4 linked regions of the Drosophila melanogaster genome follow. The protein of the gene in region 2 interacts with the protein of the main gene of each other region in a biochemical or structural test. Each region holds a gene or a part of one and is shown on either strand. Other genes may lie near its edges. The genes, in order: Spn42Dd, ea, gd and Spn27A.

The links.
Region 1: of the proteins of ea (region 2) and Spn42Dd, one has a biochemical effect on the other in vitro, tested with the Drosophila melanogaster proteins (one study listed by BioGRID).
Region 3: of the proteins of ea (region 2) and gd, one has a biochemical effect on the other in vitro, tested with the Drosophila melanogaster proteins (one study listed by BioGRID).
Region 4: of the proteins of ea (region 2) and Spn27A, one has a biochemical effect on the other in vitro, tested with the Drosophila melanogaster proteins (one study listed by BioGRID).

The regions. Positions count from the first base shown.
Region 1 is NT_033778.4:6,881,427-6,885,536, forward strand, and holds Spn42Dd (serpin 42Dd), read left to right. Parts: upstream 1-1,853; 5' UTR 1,854-1,903; coding exon 1,904-1,916; exon of another isoform or gene 1,917-1,981; intron 1,982-2,187; coding exon 2,188-3,032; intron 3,033-3,090; coding exon 3,091-3,232; intron 3,233-3,302; coding exon 3,303-3,421; 3' UTR 3,422-3,447; downstream 3,448-4,110. Other genes in the region: Spn42Dc (serpin 42Dc), read left to right, coding at 337-1,212, 1,283-1,424, 1,494-1,687.
Region 2 is NT_033777.3:15,326,843-15,331,017, forward strand, and holds ea (easter), read left to right. Parts: upstream 1-1,886; 5' UTR 1,887-2,090; coding exon 2,091-2,151; intron 2,152-2,240; exon of another isoform or gene 2,241-2,337; coding exon 2,338-2,724; intron 2,725-2,788; coding exon 2,789-3,519; 3' UTR 3,520-3,566; downstream 3,567-4,175. Other genes in the region: CG6236 (uncharacterized protein), read right to left, coding at 1-471, 534-721, 788-938, 1,085-1,203; mRpL9 (mitochondrial ribosomal protein L9), read left to right, coding at 3,912-3,983, 4,041-4,175. UniProt on the Drosophila melanogaster protein: Component of the extracellular signaling pathway that establishes the dorsal-ventral pathway of the embryo.
Region 3 is NC_004354.4:11,984,850-11,989,618, reverse strand, and holds gd (gastrulation-defective), read left to right. Parts: upstream 1-1,854; 5' UTR 1,855-1,932; coding exon 1,933-2,145; intron 2,146-2,188; coding exon 2,189-2,348; intron 2,349-2,412; coding exon 2,413-2,569; coding exon of another isoform or gene 2,570-2,587; intron 2,588-2,648; coding exon 2,649-3,200; intron 3,201-3,322; coding exon 3,323-3,836; 3' UTR 3,837-4,085; downstream 4,086-4,769. Other genes in the region: tsg (twisted gastrulation), read left to right, coding at 707-1,456; cac (cacophony), read left to right, coding at 4,725-4,769. UniProt on the Drosophila melanogaster protein: Component of the extracellular signaling pathway that establishes the dorsal-ventral pathway of the embryo.
Region 4 is NT_033779.5:6,670,558-6,675,167, reverse strand, and holds Spn27A (serpin 27A), read left to right. Parts: upstream 1-1,820; 5' UTR 1,821-1,992; coding exon 1,993-3,336; 3' UTR 3,337-4,103; downstream 4,104-4,610. Other genes in the region: cort (cortex), read left to right, coding at 1-46, 106-368; CG34310 (uncharacterized protein), read right to left, coding at 643-862, 940-1,109; cup, read right to left, coding at 854-867.

The sequences.
Region 1 (4,110 bases), on a different chromosome or scaffold from region 2:
CTACATCGGTTCTATTAAAAATATAATAGGGAATTATTATTATTATTTTAAAATAAATAGTAGCACCTAGTAGCAGTTGTAAGCTAATACGTCATTCTGGGATTTCGGATTTATTTTTAATTAGCATAGGCAATTTTGAAAATGTTTTATTTTATTAAAGATTGAATCCGAATTCGAAATTGTTCTGGATTGATCAAGTTGGCGCTTAACAGCTGGCGATAATGCCAAATGAGATAATGAGATTTGGCCCGAAAATGTCTTATTTTTGTATACTTATGTTACATTTAAGTATTTAAAAATATAAATTAAAACATATATTTTTTTGCCCAGATCGAGATGAGCGAACCCCAAGAAGGCAGAAATCAGTTTGCGCGAAATCTGATAGATGTCATTACCAAAGATGCCCTGCAACAGAGCAAAGACCCCCACATAAATACGGTTTTCTCTCCAGCATCCGTCCAAAGTGCATTGACCTTGGCATTTATGGGGGCTTCCGGATCTACAGCAGAGGAGCTAAGGAATGGGCTTCAGCTAGGACCAGGAGATCGCCATCACATAGCCCTAAACTTCGGAGAGTTCTGGCGCACGAGCTGTAACTACGGCGACAGGGGACCCGTGTTGAAGTCCGTGAACCGATTGTACGTCAACGATTCCTTGGAACTGCTTACCGAGTTCAACGAGATCGCCGTGGACTTCTTCCAGTCGAAGGCCGAGGCGACGAGGTTCGCCGATTCGGAGGGAGCTACGCAGCTGATCAACGACTGGGTGGAACAGGAGACGGAGCATAAGATCACCAACCTGCTTCAATCGGATGCCGTGAACAACGAAACGAGCGCCCTGCTCATCAATGTCTTGTACTTTAAGGGAAAGTGGCAGAAACCATTTATGCCAGAGACCACATCGATTGACCATTTCCACGTGGACCGGGACACTCACGTGCAGGTGAATATGATGTACCAAGAGGACAAGTTCCGGTTCGCAGAACTGCCACAGCTGAAGGCTCGAGCTGTGCAACTGCCCTATGATTACTCAAACATTCACATGCTAATTCTGCTGCCCAACGAAGTAAACGGTCTGCAGGAGTTAGAGCAGCAACTCAACACCGTGGATCTAGCCGATATTGACGCAGCGCTGACCTTGCAGGATGTCGAGATCTTTCTGCCCAGGATGTGCATAGAGTACGACGTGGACCTCAAGCAGGTACTTAATCAGGTAAGATACATTTAACCGATAATAGTGGCTTTGTTTTAATAACAATGTAATATCTGATATTTATTCTCAGCTGGGTATTACGGAAGTCTTCAGCGATAAGGCCAAGCTAGACGGGCTCTTTACCTCGCAAAGTGGCCAAAAAATCTCGGCAGCAAGGCACCGCGGCTACATCGACGTAAATGAGGCAGGATCGGAGGCAGCAGCAGTCAGTTGTAAGTGAAATCAGCTGCTTGCAACTCAAACTTGCTCGTACTAATCTCAACTCTGATTCCCACACTCAGTCATGAAGATAGTACCCATGATGCTCAACATGAACAAGAAGCTCTTCAAGGCGGATCACCCGTTCGTCTTTTACATACGAAACCCGCAGGCCGTCTTCTTCGCCGGCCGATTCTCGAACCCCAAGTCTGGATCTGGATCAGGAGAGGAGGGCTTGTCACGGGAAGGTTTCGATGCCAACATGTACAATGTCTAAGAACAGCAGTGAGACCGAATAGAACTCAGCTATGAAATCCCACTAGACGTCATTGGATTTCAATCCGAGAGAGCTGTGTGCGCAGTTCTCAGTAACGTAATGAAGTATCGCCAGTAGGTACATATATGTCCAGTGCATATATGAGCTCGTCTTGGCACTCGGCGCTCAGTTTACAGAGATACTTATCTCGGGGAAGAGTTCGTTGTAGACGGTCAAATGTATTACTTGTGTAAGTGGCGATCGCTTATAGCCAGTGAATTAAAATACAAAGCAATAAATTACCTATAATAACTTATGATTTAAATTAAATTCATAGAAAATAATAAAACAATATGGTGAAGACGTTTGCTATGGCATTAACTTTTAACTTACAAAGACTATCCGCTTTCGTTGAATTCGATTTGCTTTAGTCTGTAAAAGTAAAAAATATCAAGTTTAATATGCATGAACAGAATTTCCGAACGCTGAAAACGAATTGATAATTAACATCCCCAAACTAGGCATTTTCCTGTGGGTCACTTCAGTGGCATGTCAGACCTCCAAAGAGATCTACCAACTACTTTCCAAGAGCCATACAAACCAGAACCTCGTCGTCTCGCCCGTCTCCATAGAGACCATCCTTAGCATGGTCTTCATGGGCGCAGAAGGCTCGACGGCCAAGGAGCTGCAGAGCGCCTTAGGTTTACCATCGGAGGACAAAGAGGCGGTGGCAGCCAGGTACGGTGCTCTCCTCAACGATCTTCAGGGACAGGAGGAGGGACCCATACTAAAGCTCGCGAATCGCATCTACGTCAACGACCAGTACAGCCTGAATCAGAACTACAACCTCGCTGTGAGGGAACCCTTCAAGTCCGAGGCGGAGTCCATTAGTCTGACCAATGGCCCTGTGGCGGCCGAGAGAATCAACCAGTGGGTGCTGGATCAGACCAGTGGTAAAATCAAGGGCATGATCGATCCCGGCAGCATGACGTCCGACGTGAAGGCCTTGCTGGTGAACGCCATCTACTTTAAGGGCCAGTGGGAGTCGAAGTTTGACCCAGCTAAGACCAGAGCCTCCACCTTCCAAGTAACTGCGAACAAGAGTGTGCCCGTCCAGATGATGGCGCAAATGGGAACATTCAGGGCTAACTACTTCCGCGATCTAGATGCCCAAGTCATCGAGCTGCCGTACCTTAACTCCAACCTGTCCATGACTATCTTTCTGCCCCGAGAAGTGGAGGGCTTGAGCGCCCTGGAAGAGAAGATCGTTGGCTTCGCCAGGCCGCTGGTTGCCAAGGAGGTCTATCTTAAGCTGCCCAAGTTTAAAATCGAATTTCGTGATGAACTCAAAGAGACCTTAGAGAAGGTAAGACTCCGTCAAGAAAAACACGGTTGTGCCACTTTGACGCTCGATTCTATTTAAGCTGGGCATCCGAGAGCTATTCACCGACAAGTCAGACTTAAGCGGCTTGTTCGCCGATAAGTCAGGCGGCAAAGTCAGTCAGGTCTCGCACAAGGCGTTTCTGGAGGTGAACGAGGAGGGAGCGGAGGCCGCAGGTGCCACATGTAAGTACCGATTTGGTTATCAGCGTCGAATGTTGACTCCTATATACTCACTGTTCCCAATGATTCCCAGCTGTGGCCGTCACAAATCGAGCGGGATTTTCTACGTTCCTCATGGCCGATCATCCCTTTGCCTTCGTCATTCGCGATGCGAACACCATATATTTCCAGGGGCGTGTTGTAAGCCCTTGAATAAATAAAAACAATATTTAAATTTTAAATTAAAATTCCAAGCGGAGTGATTACATTTTAAGTTAAGGATCAATGTGGACAGCAGTCCACGTTGTGACGGAAGGGTAACGCAGCGAAGGTAGGTTGTCCAGTAGGTTGGTAATAGGGAGTAGAAGTGGTATTTTGCCAAAAATAAAAAGTGTAATGATTTCTGATTCTTCGTTCGGAAAAGTTTCAAATATGTTAATTTTAACTCATTTAAATACGCCATGTATTTTAAGTGTCCTGGTGAACCGAGCGATTTTATTATTATTATATATTAAAAAAAAACGACTAGTTTAGCGGAGAAAAAACACTAAAAAGTTAAACATCCACCACCAATGAACCTAGAAGCATTCGATAAAAGTCGTTAAAAAGGCAATTTAAAACACTATTCTCGGTTCCTAAACGTATTATGTCTAAATACCACAGATAAAAAACAAGTGAAAAGCCTTTCTCGAGTCCCTCGCGTACCTGCAAATTGGAAGTGGTATGTATGTGATATTCGAGCTACTCGACTACGGCGGTCTCTCCAGTTTTTAATAAACAAAATTGATATTTTTAAGCCGATACTAACGTAAAAAAAAAGTAAAAAGACATTCACATGCTAGCGATGGACTTAAAATCTCTTGGGAAACAGAAATTAATTTCCCCACAGTGTGCCGTTGTAG
Region 2 (4,175 bases):
CCTGTCATGCGGTACGTGAAAGTGCCCACATTGGGCAAATCCTCATTAAAGGAGGTCATATATCCCAGGCGGGCAAAATCCTTCCAAATCATAGGATACGAATCCACGCTGCCTGCCCCGGACAACCGCTTCCTTGTCTCCGGCAGCTCCAGTTCCGTGAAACCCGTCAGTAGGGGCACCAGCGCCTGTGGCGTACCATCGCCCACAATGTTATAGCCTTTGAGAACGGTGGCGCCCAACTGTTGGGTGAGATACTCGTAGGTCCTGGGCAGCTTGCGAATGAAGGCATTGCGACTCAGCGAATCGAAGCCAAACATGAGGACATTGTAGATGGGAGCTGTGGCCCCATCCTGCATCTGCTGCTGGGCCTGCGCAACCGCCTCGGGTGGTAGGACGGCCAAGTTCGGGGAGAAATTGGAGGCCGGTGGACGGGGCACCGTATCCCGTATTCCGTGGGCCATGCCAAACCAACTAAGTACATGAAGATCATTCTTTAAAGTATAGGCATAACTATAAAATAAGATAATGGTCACCTCTCGCCGCTGGAGGATCGACAGACCACCTTGACAAAGTCGCTGGCCTGCAGCACATAGGGCTCCTTCATGCGCAGTGACTGCCCAAAGCGAACCTTGTAGTCCGACTTGCGAATAATGTCCGTGTAGGAGCAGATCACATCCTCGTGGCTGGACGCAATCTCTGGTCGCACAAAGCAAATGGATTTCTTTGGGGGAAACGAGGTTTAAGTTAAGCAATCAGCTCTTGTAGAAGGGGCCCAGTCCCAACCAACCTCACACATGACCCAGTCCATGCCCTCGCCGCAGTTTATTCGCTCAACCGGCTTGTAGAACTTCATGATGTCCGGATTGTCCAGCGGCAGATGGGGATGCCGGCACTCGCCACGATTCACAGCCGATCTTATGGAGCGCTCGATGATTTCGCTTTAATTAAATACAAAATTGAATTAGTTGCAAAAGATAAATACTCTTTATCACAAATATGCGCATATGTACATATACATATGTATGGACAAACATCGTACAATCAATATCCCAAGCCGCTGTGACGCACAACTAGACATACTTACATTTTGAGGCTCTTATCCAGATCCCGCTCCACGTTCAACACATACCAGGTGACCAGCAGGACCACCACACAGCAACATGCTGCAATCTTGGGGACAGTTCCCCGCCGCACAAAGCGCATTTTGAATAAATTATGAGCTGCAAATATCGGACCAGACACATGAGACTTGCATTCGCATTATTGCTGCACATACAGCACTCACTCGGCACTCAAGCGACGTACTACTTACACCACTGCCGATCTCCAAACTTGCCGCCTATTCGACCTTTACTAAATATCCACGCTCATTTTTTAAATTAAACATTTAACTTATCACCAGCTGCGACGTACCGCTATATGCGAGTTGCCAAAACAGTGGCAAACAACATTGCGAATTCGGTCATACTGTGTTGTTTGGCAACGCGACCGCTGCAATTTAAACTGCGACTTTAAACTTTGCTTTAGGTCCGATTTAAAGTCGGTAGAACTTTCAGTTTGCTGTAGAACGAAATATACCGTTAGCTTATCGTTAATGATAGTGCTTTTTGCTATCAAAACACCATGTGATACAATCGAACTTAGGCGGGGATTAAATAATGGTAGATACTCCCTTAAATTTGCCGAGTACTTTACTTACACTCAGCATGTGACAAAGTAAATTCTATTAGTACCAAAGTTAAATAAGCCAACTGACAATTACTAAGAATAATAATTGGAAGAGAGATAAAGATCTGCTCCCACGATTATCTTCATATCTGATTTGGAGACTCGCCAAAAAGCTTGCGACAAAGCTCGCAGGCCGAGAACCGCGTCCGTCCGAAGATTCAGTTGTGCGCCAAGCTCAGCTTCGGCCTCTTCGTTTCACTCCGCTCCGCTGTGGCACCTGGTATCGTCCATATTATCGCGCCGTTTATTTTGATAACTGCTTCTGCGGTCGGTCTGTAATATTGTTTTTAGGCAAAACATTATCCGCAAACCACTGACGACGTCTTGAGAAAGGACTAACGAGGTCCGATTGCGCAACGAAAATGCTAAAGCCATCGATTATCTGCCTCTTTTTGGGCATTTTGGCGAAATCATCGGCGGGCCGTAAGTAAATAGAAGACTGCCAAGATGCTCATCTGCTGGACATGACTAGCTTAACGTATTTGTTTTTTTTTGCCGCGGGCCTTCACAAGTCGCTGGAAACCTGTTTCCGTACTTCCATAGCTAATGACCTAATTTATGTATTCACAATATTGGTAAGCTCTCTGAACCTAAAGTCTGGATTTCCAGAGTTCTACTTCCCCAACGAGGCGGCCCAGGTGCCCAACTATGGGCGCTGCATAACGCCGAATCGGGAGCGTGCGCTGTGCATCCATCTGGAGGACTGCAAGTACCTATACGGCCTGCTGACCACCACCCCGCTCCGGGACACGGACCGGCTTTACCTGAGTCGCAGCCAGTGCGGCTATACGAACGGCAAGGTGCTCATCTGCTGTCCGGACCGCTACAGGGAGAGCTCATCGGAGACGACGCCACCGCCCAAGCCCAATGTAACCAGCAACAGCCTTCTGCCGCTGCCAGGACAATGCGGCAACATCCTGTCCAATCGCATCTATGGCGGAATGAAGACCAAGATCGACGAGTTCCCCTGGATGGCTCTAATTGAATACACCAAAAGTAAGTAGAGGGGCATCGTCTTAAGTCTGAACGCACTTATCCACTGGTTAATTCCTACATGCAGGCCAGGGCAAAAAGGGTCACCATTGCGGCGGATCCTTGATCAGCACAAGATATGTGATCACAGCCTCGCATTGTGTCAACGGAAAGGCACTGCCCACCGACTGGCGGTTGTCCGGTGTTCGTTTGGGCGAATGGGACACCAACACTAATCCCGATTGCGAAGTAGATGTGCGCGGCATGAAGGACTGCGCGCCACCGCATCTGGACGTGCCCGTGGAGCGTACTATACCCCATCCCGACTATATACCGGCCTCCAAGAACCAGGTCAACGACATAGCCCTGCTGCGTCTGGCCCAGCAGGTGGAGTACACCGACTTTGTGCGACCCATTTGCCTGCCTCTGGACGTCAATCTGCGGTCGGCCACCTTCGACGGCATCACCATGGACGTGGCCGGCTGGGGCAAAACGGAGCAGCTGTCGGCCAGCAACCTCAAGCTGAAGGCAGCCGTGGAGGGATTCCGGATGGATGAGTGCCAGAACGTCTACAGCAGCCAGGACATTCTCCTCGAGGACACACAGATGTGTGCCGGCGGCAAGGAAGGCGTCGACTCCTGTCGCGGTGACTCCGGGGGACCGCTCATCGGCTTGGACACCAACAAGGTGAACACCTACTACTTCCTGGCCGGCGTCGTGTCATTTGGACCGACTCCGTGCGGTCTGGCCGGATGGCCAGGAGTTTACACGCTGGTGGGCAAGTACGTTGATTGGATACAAAACACTATTGAGTCCTGATTGTAAAATGTCATATTGTAAATAAATTCGACTAACGGTTTCCGTTTAAAAACTGCTTCACAGCGTGTACGCATACTGCATGTCGATGGGCGCGTTCGCCGAAATATTGGCATAGTCAATCTTTTATTTTGTAATGAAACTATTAAATTAAAATTGACAGTCATAATACTTTCAAAGGTACATTTTTTTTAATCAATTAAAAGGTAAATTGGGCAAATTATTTTGCTTTATTAAAATGTAAAGAAATAGTTGCAATAAAAAAACTAAATTCATAATCGTTTTCAAAGTCACTGAAAATTTTACTGCTGAACTCACGCAGATTAAATAATCATATCTGGCAACACTGCAAACTGGCTGAGTAGTCTGGCAACGCAGACATATTGGTGGTAAAAATGTTGAAGAACATCTACGTAACGCCGTTAAATTTGCTTAAATCGGCCACCAGCCTGCAGCAGCAAGTGCGGGTAAGTGCTCTCCTGGATTAGGGAAGCGATCCCCATTCACCACCAATTTGCTTCCAGACCACGTTCGTCCTGAAGCGCAAATATGACCCGCCGCTGCACAAAACCAACGAGAAACCCCGCCGGATGAGGGCCAAGAACTTCATCTACGAGCTCGTGGACGACACGCTGGTCAAAAAGCGGCCCAACATCGAG
Region 3 (4,769 bases), on a different chromosome or scaffold from region 2:
AGGAAAATTTTTTTTTTTTAATTTTTTTCGCATTTTGATACCTTACGAAAATGCAAAAATTGATCTTAAAATTAATTTCTTAGTATCCGCTTAAAAATGATATGGATCTTTAGCATTGGTAATTATCTGAGCGAAACTGTTTTTCTTTTAGCCATGTGATGATTTTTGGCCAAGTTATAAATTATGGCATTTTTGCCAAATGTCGTTTTTCTGACTTCCCTTAACATAATATATCGATTTTTGGCCAAAACACTTAACAAATTGTAATTATACCTGTTAAGTCCTTAGAGCCAATAATACCTGTTTGCGGTTAAGATTTAGGATTAAGAATCTGCATTTTGTTTTAGCCAACCAATGGACTTTATTTATGTTACCTAATTGGCTTATTTTATAACGGTTCGTATTAGTCAATAATACAGGTAATGTTTGCGTGTTTAATCCTAGAAGCTGCCTTAAAAGTAAGGCTATTTTGAGATGATCATCCCTTATTTTGGCACATTTTATAGGAGAAGTTACCTCTAAATGGTTTTAAATGACCAGCCTGCCTGCTGAGGGTCACTACCTGATTTTCGCGACACGAGGATTAGCGGATTGTGGTAAGGATGAGCCATCTACCTGACCATCTGGATACTAATATTAAAAAAACATATAAAGGCATGCCGCAATCGTGGATAATGTATCATAAGGCCGCGAGATCTCGTCGAGAATGCAGTTACTGTGCTACTTCGTCATCCTTTTCGTTGGAATCGCACCGTGGTCATCCTTGGCCAACGATGATGGATGCAACGAAGTGGTCTGCGGATCGGTGGTATCCAAGTGCCTCATCACCCAGAGCTGCCAGTGCAAGTTAAATGACTGCCACTGCTGCAAGGACTGTCTAAATTGCCTTGGCGAACTGTACATCGAGTGCTGTGGCTGCCTCGACATGTGTCCCAAGCACAAGGATGTCCTGCCCTCGCTGACGCCGCGCTCGGAGATTGGAGACATTGAAGGAGTGCCCGAGCTGTTCGACACCCTAACCGCCGAGGATGACGAGGGATGGTCCACCATAAGGTTCTCCATGCGAGCCGGCTTCAAGCAGCGCGTTCAGGGCGGCGCGAGTGGTGATGCCGGAAACGGAAATGGAAATGGAAATGCCGGGTCTGCAGGTGTCACCCTATGCACCGTGATCTATGTGAACTCGTGCATTCGGGCAAACAAGTGCCGGCAGCAGTGCGAGAGCATGGGAGCCAGTAGCTATCGATGGTTCCACGACGGATGCTGCGAGTGCGTCGGCGAGAATTGCCTCAATTATGGAATCAACGAGAGTCGCTGCCGCGGTTGTCCGGAGGATCAGGACCAACTGCTTACCGCCGATACCGTTCCGGCGGAGGCTGAACAGGATCTGGAGCGATTCTTTGGCAACGAGGAGATCGAGGACGAGTGGGGCTATGGCGAGGAGGATGAATTTTCCTAATAGCACAGATAATTTCAAATAAATGTGGTTCTTCAAATTGGAGCTTGGACCTCATCATAGCAAACGATCTCTTTGTAAATACCCATGTAAAATACCCATGTAAAAATAGCAAGGCATTTGCTAATTTAAGTTTTTATAAAAAAAAGACAACAATAAACTTGGAAATTATAAAAATATTCCTTTTAGTTCTAACAGTGGATCCAGTAAATGTTTCGTAGAATCCATATTTGTGGGATATAATTAATTTGTAAAGTTTTTTGAAATTTGAACTTGCACGGAATTGAGAATTTAAAGGATCAATTTCCCCTCTCTCATTTTAATTAACAGGGGTTACTTTCTTGGTCTGGCAACTCTGTTGGTGGATAAAATGCACACAGTGTTCCCGGACTGTTAAAGCTTCGATCGAAATTGCGGCATTGTTTACGTTTGTTTTGAGTGAAAAGCATTTTCATCCCGGGCATTCCCAGACACTAGCGATGAGGCTGCACCTGGCGGCGATCCTGATCCTCTGCATCGAGCACGTAACCAAGGCAGTCGCCCAGGGAATGCCGATCAGTCCGTGCCCCAAGGTGTTTCAGTACCGCTTCGACGGCAGCGAATGGTTCGGCCTGATGGCCGTGCGCAGTCCGGATGGCCACCAGCCGCTCCACATACGAGTTACGCTCTCGATGCGTGGCAAGCCCACCACGGTAAGTGGTATATTGTCATCCAGATGTTACCTAATCCCCTTAGTACACACAGAACTATCTGGGCGAAATCGAGCTACTCACACGCGGCAAGTTTACCCACAATGCACCGGTGCTGTATAAGATCCGCTTTCCCAAACATCACTTCCCGCCCAAACTGCTCCTCATGTCAGCCAACAATCATGTGATCTGCTTCGGATCCGGCGGTGCGTATCCACGGAACTTGGGTAGCAAACGATTTAATCCATGACTTGTTTGCCCGCACCACAGAGCACAGCATCTTCATGACCCAAATCCAGTTGGAGCACATTAGGAAGTTGTCCTTTATACCGGATAAGAAGAGCTCCCTGCTGCTAGATCCCGAGGAGGAGGAGGTGAGAAAAACCGACGACAAGCCGCCCAGTACGCCGCACATCCAGTTCAAGAAGTATGCATCCGGATTTTGGTCGGTTAAAACACACACACGATCGTGACATTCATTCGTTACTTAATGTCCGCTTTTGTAGAAAACCCTTTGCCCAGGCGCCCAAGGAGATTTGCGGACGCATCGACAGGGATCTGGACTTTCACTTGTCCCAAAGAACGGAATCACTTCATGTCGCAATCGGTGAACCAAAGAGCTCCGATGGCATCACATCGCCAGTTTTTGTCGATGACGATGAAGACGATGTCCTGGAGCATCAGTTTGTGGACGAATCAGAAGCAGAAGCGATAGAAAGCGATAGCGCCGATAGCCTGCCATCGATCACCAGGGGATCGTGGCCTTGGCTAGCGGCCATCTATGTGAACAACCTGACCTCCCTGGACTTTCAGTGCGGCGGTTCGCTTGTCTCGGCACGCGTTGTAATCAGCTCGGCGCACTGCTTCAAGTTGTTCAACAAGCGCTACACATCCAACGAGGTGCTCGTCTTTCTGGGCCGCCACAATCTGAAGAACTGGAACGAGGAGGGATCTCTGGCGGCCCCCGTCGATGGCATTTACATTCATCCCGACTTTAACAGTCAGCTGAGCAGCTACGATGCGGATATCGCAGTGATTATACTCAAGGACGAAGTTCGGTGGGTGCCAATATGCCTAAAGCTTACATATTCAAGATTTAGATTCATATCTAAACCGCGATGTGAAATCGAATATGAAGATCATTTATTATATTGACAGTATACCATTATTTTCAACGCAGATTTAACACCTTTATTCGACCCGCTTGCCTGTGGTCTGGTTCCAGCAAAACGGAGTACATTGTGGGCGAGCGGGGCATCGTCATCGGCTGGAGCTTTGACAGAACGAACAGGACGCGGGATCAGAAGCTGTCGTCGGAGCTACCGGGCAAGAAGTCCACCGATGCCAGTGCACCCAAGGTAGTAAAGGCTCCCATTGTCGGCAATGCCGAATGCTTTCGAGCCAATGCCCACTTTCGCAGCCTATCCTCAAACCGAACGTTTTGCGCCGGCATCCAGGCGGAGGAACGAGATACGCATCAGAGCGGGGCGAGCATTTACACCGGTATATCGGGGGCCGGACTTTTCATCCGCCGGAACAATCGCTGGATGCTGCGTGGCACAGTATCAGCGGCCCTGCCCGCCGTAGAGACACCGGATGCGGAATCTAGCCATAAGCTTTGCTGTAAGAATCAGTACATTATATATGCCGACGTGGCCAAGTTTCTGGACTGGATCACGGCCTTTGTAATTTGAATCACATCCGAAATGTGTATGGGAACGCATTTCTAAGTGAGCGCTGTGATAATAGCCCCTTGGGCATGGCGATGGGCAAAAGTTACTCGGAGTAATTAGCGGTTATCGGTTTTTTCTTTTTTTTTTTTTGCTAGTTTCATTACGAAAACTTCTGATTATGGCATTTCAGTTTTATTTTTATCTAAGACAGTAGGGCAATTCAAATAATAAATTATGGCACGGGAAAGCCAAAAAGGAATTTTCCCATAGAATCGCTGCGCTTTTAGATCTCCACCATAATATTAACATTAAAAATCTCGAAATTTGCAATGTTTAAATTCCTCTGACCACATATAGAAAACGTGTATGTTGAAAGAATCACAGGTATGTTTGATATCGAAATTAATTGTAATACAGTAACGTTTACCATGCCTTTGTTATCAGTGTGTTGTTGGCGCTCGTGAACAAAGGAAGCTGCTAATATGCCGGAGTGGGCGGCCTGGCCCGTCTGAGCGGCGTTCACCCATGGACACCTGGACACCCTAATTACCAGCGGCAGACACTGTACTGCGCAAATGCTGACTACTATCAAGCACGTCATCGCACGTCATCAGCCGCAATCGTCGTCATCGCCATCTGGGCCGTTATCTATCTTGCTGGGTTGTTGGGGCATCGACAGCAGTCGTAGCCATCGACTATCAGTTCCGTCCGGACCGTGGCAGCTGGTGCATCACACCTGGGGCTCTGGGCCCGTCGTCTACGGACATTCGCAATCGTTGAAGATCCCCAAACAAGTGCAACGCATTGTATTGTGAACGTGCCCGATAGTTGGTAGTGAATATATTACAGAAATGGCAATATTTGGAGTACATTTCGCGTATTGCAAAGTTCGATTCATCGATTCCCAGAATGCTGGGCGGAGTGGGAGCTCGTCGCCGAAGGGGCTCATCTCCT
Region 4 (4,610 bases), on a different chromosome or scaffold from region 2:
TACAGCAAAATCACGGGCGAGTTGCTGGTCAACGTTATTCGGCGTGGTGAGAACTGCACTGGATCCTTAATGCTTGCTAAAAATAATGTATTCTAATATCTACAGATGATGCGGACCTTGCAGTGTGCGAAATTCTGGTCTTGGCCTCCTTAAACCGCGTGGTTGACTTGATGTCCCATCAGGATCGCGGCACCCTCTTCCTGATGTGGAATCCGGATGGAACGAAAATTGCCACCGGCGGACTGGACGACACCTTTTCGCTGTGGAACTTCTTTCCCACCTATAAGCGCGAGGCGATATTGAGAAAGCAAGAGCAAAAGGCCAAGGACAAGTGCAGCTCCCTGAGCCTGTACAAAGGCATACGGTGAACAGAGCACAGTGATTTTTAATTGTTTATGTTTCTAGTCTTTTATTCAAACCATTTGTGCTTTTCATTATTTATTCAATTCATATTACTTTCATAAAAAATCCATTCTGTTTAACTCTAAAATGAACACAAGAAGATGGGCCTCTCCACCCAAAGTGAAGGTAAGAAAGTAAAAGTCCATTCATTGTTCACCATGTTACAGCGTTGAAATTTGGTAACTAATCACTAGGCTATAAGTATGTAAAGATGTCTATGACGGCACTGGCAGCCTTGGCTCAATATTCGCTCCGTTTGGGTCTTGACTCGCCAATCTGGGAGTGAACCTCCTGCTGGAAGAGGTACTCCGCACTGGCCTCGGCTTCCAGGCGTCGTTTCTCGAGAAGATAGGGTTTGATGACAAGGCGATGGGTGGTGTAGAATATAACAGTCGATCCAATACCGATGGCCATCAGACCAACCGTCGTTGTGGCGAATCTTTTGAAGCCGTTAATGAAACTCATCTGTGGGCGAGAACGGAATTCAATTAATATATGACTTTAGCCAGCAGATTAGGGTTTAGTGTGCGGGCTAACTTTGTGGTTCCACTAGTTTCAGTTACTGCTGGCGTTTCTGCCTCGGTTTTCTTCTCGTTTTTGTACTTCAAAATCAGCGGTTGCCAAATGTAAATACCGCCTAGCAGCCCAATGGCCGTGACCACCATCAATTGCGGAACAGTGACACCACGCGGACGACGAATTTGCATGGCACGTGCGGTTACTTTGGCTATTTATATTTATTTCTCATTAAATGCACAAGTTTCTTTCGCCGGCTGCTGTTACATCAACGCACCATGAGAATTTATTTCAGATCAGCTGTTTTGTTTAGCCGACACTTACCAACACTGAGTTCTATAATAGTTGTCAGCGTGGCCAGACTATCCCCGACACAACTTAAGCTTATTTGAAATTCAAATTTCTATTAATAGCTATTCATAAACTGGCTTGAGTATTTGCAGCGGGCGTGAAAGAAACTGTGACGTAGTTTAAGAATAATAACATTTGCAAACTTTCCTCTTTGATGACTATGCAATAATTCACAAATAGCTGAAGTGGGGAAAGCCTAATAAAGGCGGATATTGTTCGCAACTAATTTGTACAAAATAACAAAATAACATTCATAATGATGAATGATCCTTAAATATTTGTATAGGTTTTTTGGTTAATCCTGTCAATACAGGCATGGAAATTCTCTGAGTGCACTGATGCACTGTATAGTCTAGTCGTTTCCCTTCACTTCCCTCATCACTTAACCACACTCATCACTTTGCGATAATGACGTACGTATGCTTTGGGAGTCCCAACAAAAAAAACACACATGCGCTGCCCCGTCGACGCGGCAGCACAGCAGCAGAGGACGGCGTCAAGAGCGGCTTGAAGCTGGAGCTCGATTTTAAAATGGCCAGCCCGCTCGGCGCACCAGTCACTCTCAGTTGGAACGGCGCGTGAAACGGTTATCGCTCGCTCCACCGGCGCTCTCTCGCCGCTCGCCCCACCAAAGCCCGCATTTAACAGTTGTTTTGCTGCGAATAAGAGGCTGAAAGCAAAGACCCGAGGAAGATCGAGACGCAGAAGCTTAGGGAAGCACAGATGACAAAGATGGGCGGAAATTTGGCAGTGATGCTGCTGTCGCTGTTTTTGAGTGCGTTAGCCACGGGCAACGGCAACTCCATACCGACGACCACGACGCCCCAGGGCGTATTCGAAACCCGTACGGACAAGCTGCCCGGTGGCGCTGCCAGCGTGCCCAGTGGAGCGGGTATCTACGACGATATAGATACCTTTGTGCCCTTCCGGAGCGACTCGCACGATCCGTTCTCATGGCATCTACTGAAGACGGTGCTGCAGAACGAGACAGCCGACAAGAATGTGATCATCTCGCCGTTCTCCGTCAAACTGGTGCTGGCCCTGCTGGCTGAGGCGGCCGGAGCCGGAACCCAGACGCAAGTGGAGCTGGCCAACACGCAAACAGACATTCGATCGCAAAATAATGTGCGGGAGTTCTACCGCAAGACACTTAATTCCTTCAAGAAGGAGAACCAGCTCCACGAGACGCTCAGTGTGCGCACCAAGCTCTTCACGGACAGCTTCATCGAGACACAGCAGAAGTTCACGGCCACGCTGAAACACTTCTACGACAGCGAGGTGGAGGCGCTAGACTTCACCAATCCCGAGGCGGCGGCAGATGCCATCAACGCCTGGGCCGCCAACATCACGCAGGGCAGACTTCAGCAGCTAGTAGCCCCGGACAACGTGCGCAGCAGCGTAATGTTGCTGACCAATCTGATCTACTTCAACGGTCTGTGGCGGCGGCAGTTTGCCACCACATTCCAGGGATCCTTCTTCCGCAGCAAGGACGACCAGTCGCGGGCGGAGTTCATGGAGCAGACCGACTACTTCTACTACACCACCTCGGAGAAGCTGAAGGCGCAGATTCTGCGTCTGCCCTACAAGGGCAAGAACTCCCTGTTCGTCCTGCTGCCCTACGCCCTGAATGGCATCCATGACTTGGTCAAGAACCTGGAAAACGACGAGCTAAAGAGCGCTCAGTGGGCCATGGAGGAGGTGAAAGTGAAGGTGACGCTGCCCAAGTTCCATTTCGACTACCAGCAGAACCTTAAGGAGACGTTGCGCAGCCTGGGTGTGCGCGAAATCTTTGAGGACAGCGCCTCGCTGCCGGGATTAACCCGCGGCGCTGATGTCGCCGGCAAAGTAAAGGTGTCTAACATCCTGCAGAAGGCCGGCATTAATGTGAACGAGAAGGGAACGGAGGCCTACGCAGCCACCGTTGTGGAGATCGAAAACAAGTTCGGTGGCAGCACCGCCATCGAGGAATTCAACGTAAACCGGCCGTTTGTGTTCTTTATCGAGGAGGAGTCCACTGGTAACATACTGTTTGCCGGCAAAGTCCACTCACCCACCACCCAGAACTAAGCCTCTCAGGCGGTTTTATCTTTAAATACGCAATAAATATACAAACAAATGAGAGTCTCTGCGCTTCAGTTAACCTTAATATGATGTGAAAAGTGTTGCAAGTGGATAAGCTTTCTAATACATTTTGCTGAATCCTACAAACGAGAAACGAATCTGTGCTCTTGACCCCTTTTTCAGTAATCGTGCGTGGCGACGATTCCCCCAGCGAGTCGGTTCCCATCTACAGGCCACAACATTCCGCTGGCTGATAAAGCCACTGGTGCTGTCGTTAAATGTTTGTTTTTATATTTATGCCTCGCCCAGGCATGCCACGAACAATTGAAAGCAAAAGGCAGCAATCAAGTGAGAGATGCAAATACCTGCTAACTCTGGGAATGTCCCACGAACGTAACATCGGCAATATCCAATGGGGAGATCGATGGGTAACCGATTGCGCACATAGTCGACGGCAAATAGAACCCATGACTCAGGGGGCTGGCTGAGATGTTGTTCGACTGGGAAATCTTAAGTTTGCGTAGTTAGCCACGTTCTGGTGATCTCTTGAACAAACAAGGAAGCCAGCTAAGCTTGGGAATTTAAGCGCAGCTTAGAAACAAGTATATGATAAAGTTTGTTAGCTTAATACAATTCAATTGCTATTCATCAATGAAATCATTATAAAAGTCCTAATGTTTTCTAGGGCTAAACGATGTATTAACGAAAAGTGTAAACAAGGTCTATTAGTTTAAAAGAAAAAACATATATATATATATATATTAAGCTCGACTAAATGCCCTATCTCTCATGTTTTATTTATCTTTCTGATTCGAAACTCCAGCCAGCTCATCCTTGTAGAGGCGTTCAAGTGATAATCTGAATCAACAGCTTGTAAATATATCGCAGATGTGATCAAGTGCATTGCAAAGTGTGCAATGTTTGCAGTAACAAAAACCCGTTTACAGATAATACGTGAAAGTGGTCATCAAAGTGCATATTTGCTCTGCTTTCGAAAAATCAGCCTGAAAATTGACCGTCTGACTCAGACACATAAGCGAAATACCAAGAAGGGGAGGCCATTAGGCAGCTTATTAACTATAATATTACCGTAAATGATAACAACTCAGCACAAATGTAAAAATATAAATTTCCTCCCTTGGGTATTAACCCGACTTTTAGAACTATGACCATAACGCTGTCAAGAAACTACAAATCTAACTGTTATATGTGATGACTTTGCTTTCAAAGCACAAATGATAGGGTAAACTTAACGGAGAGTACCCACTGTACGATTGTAT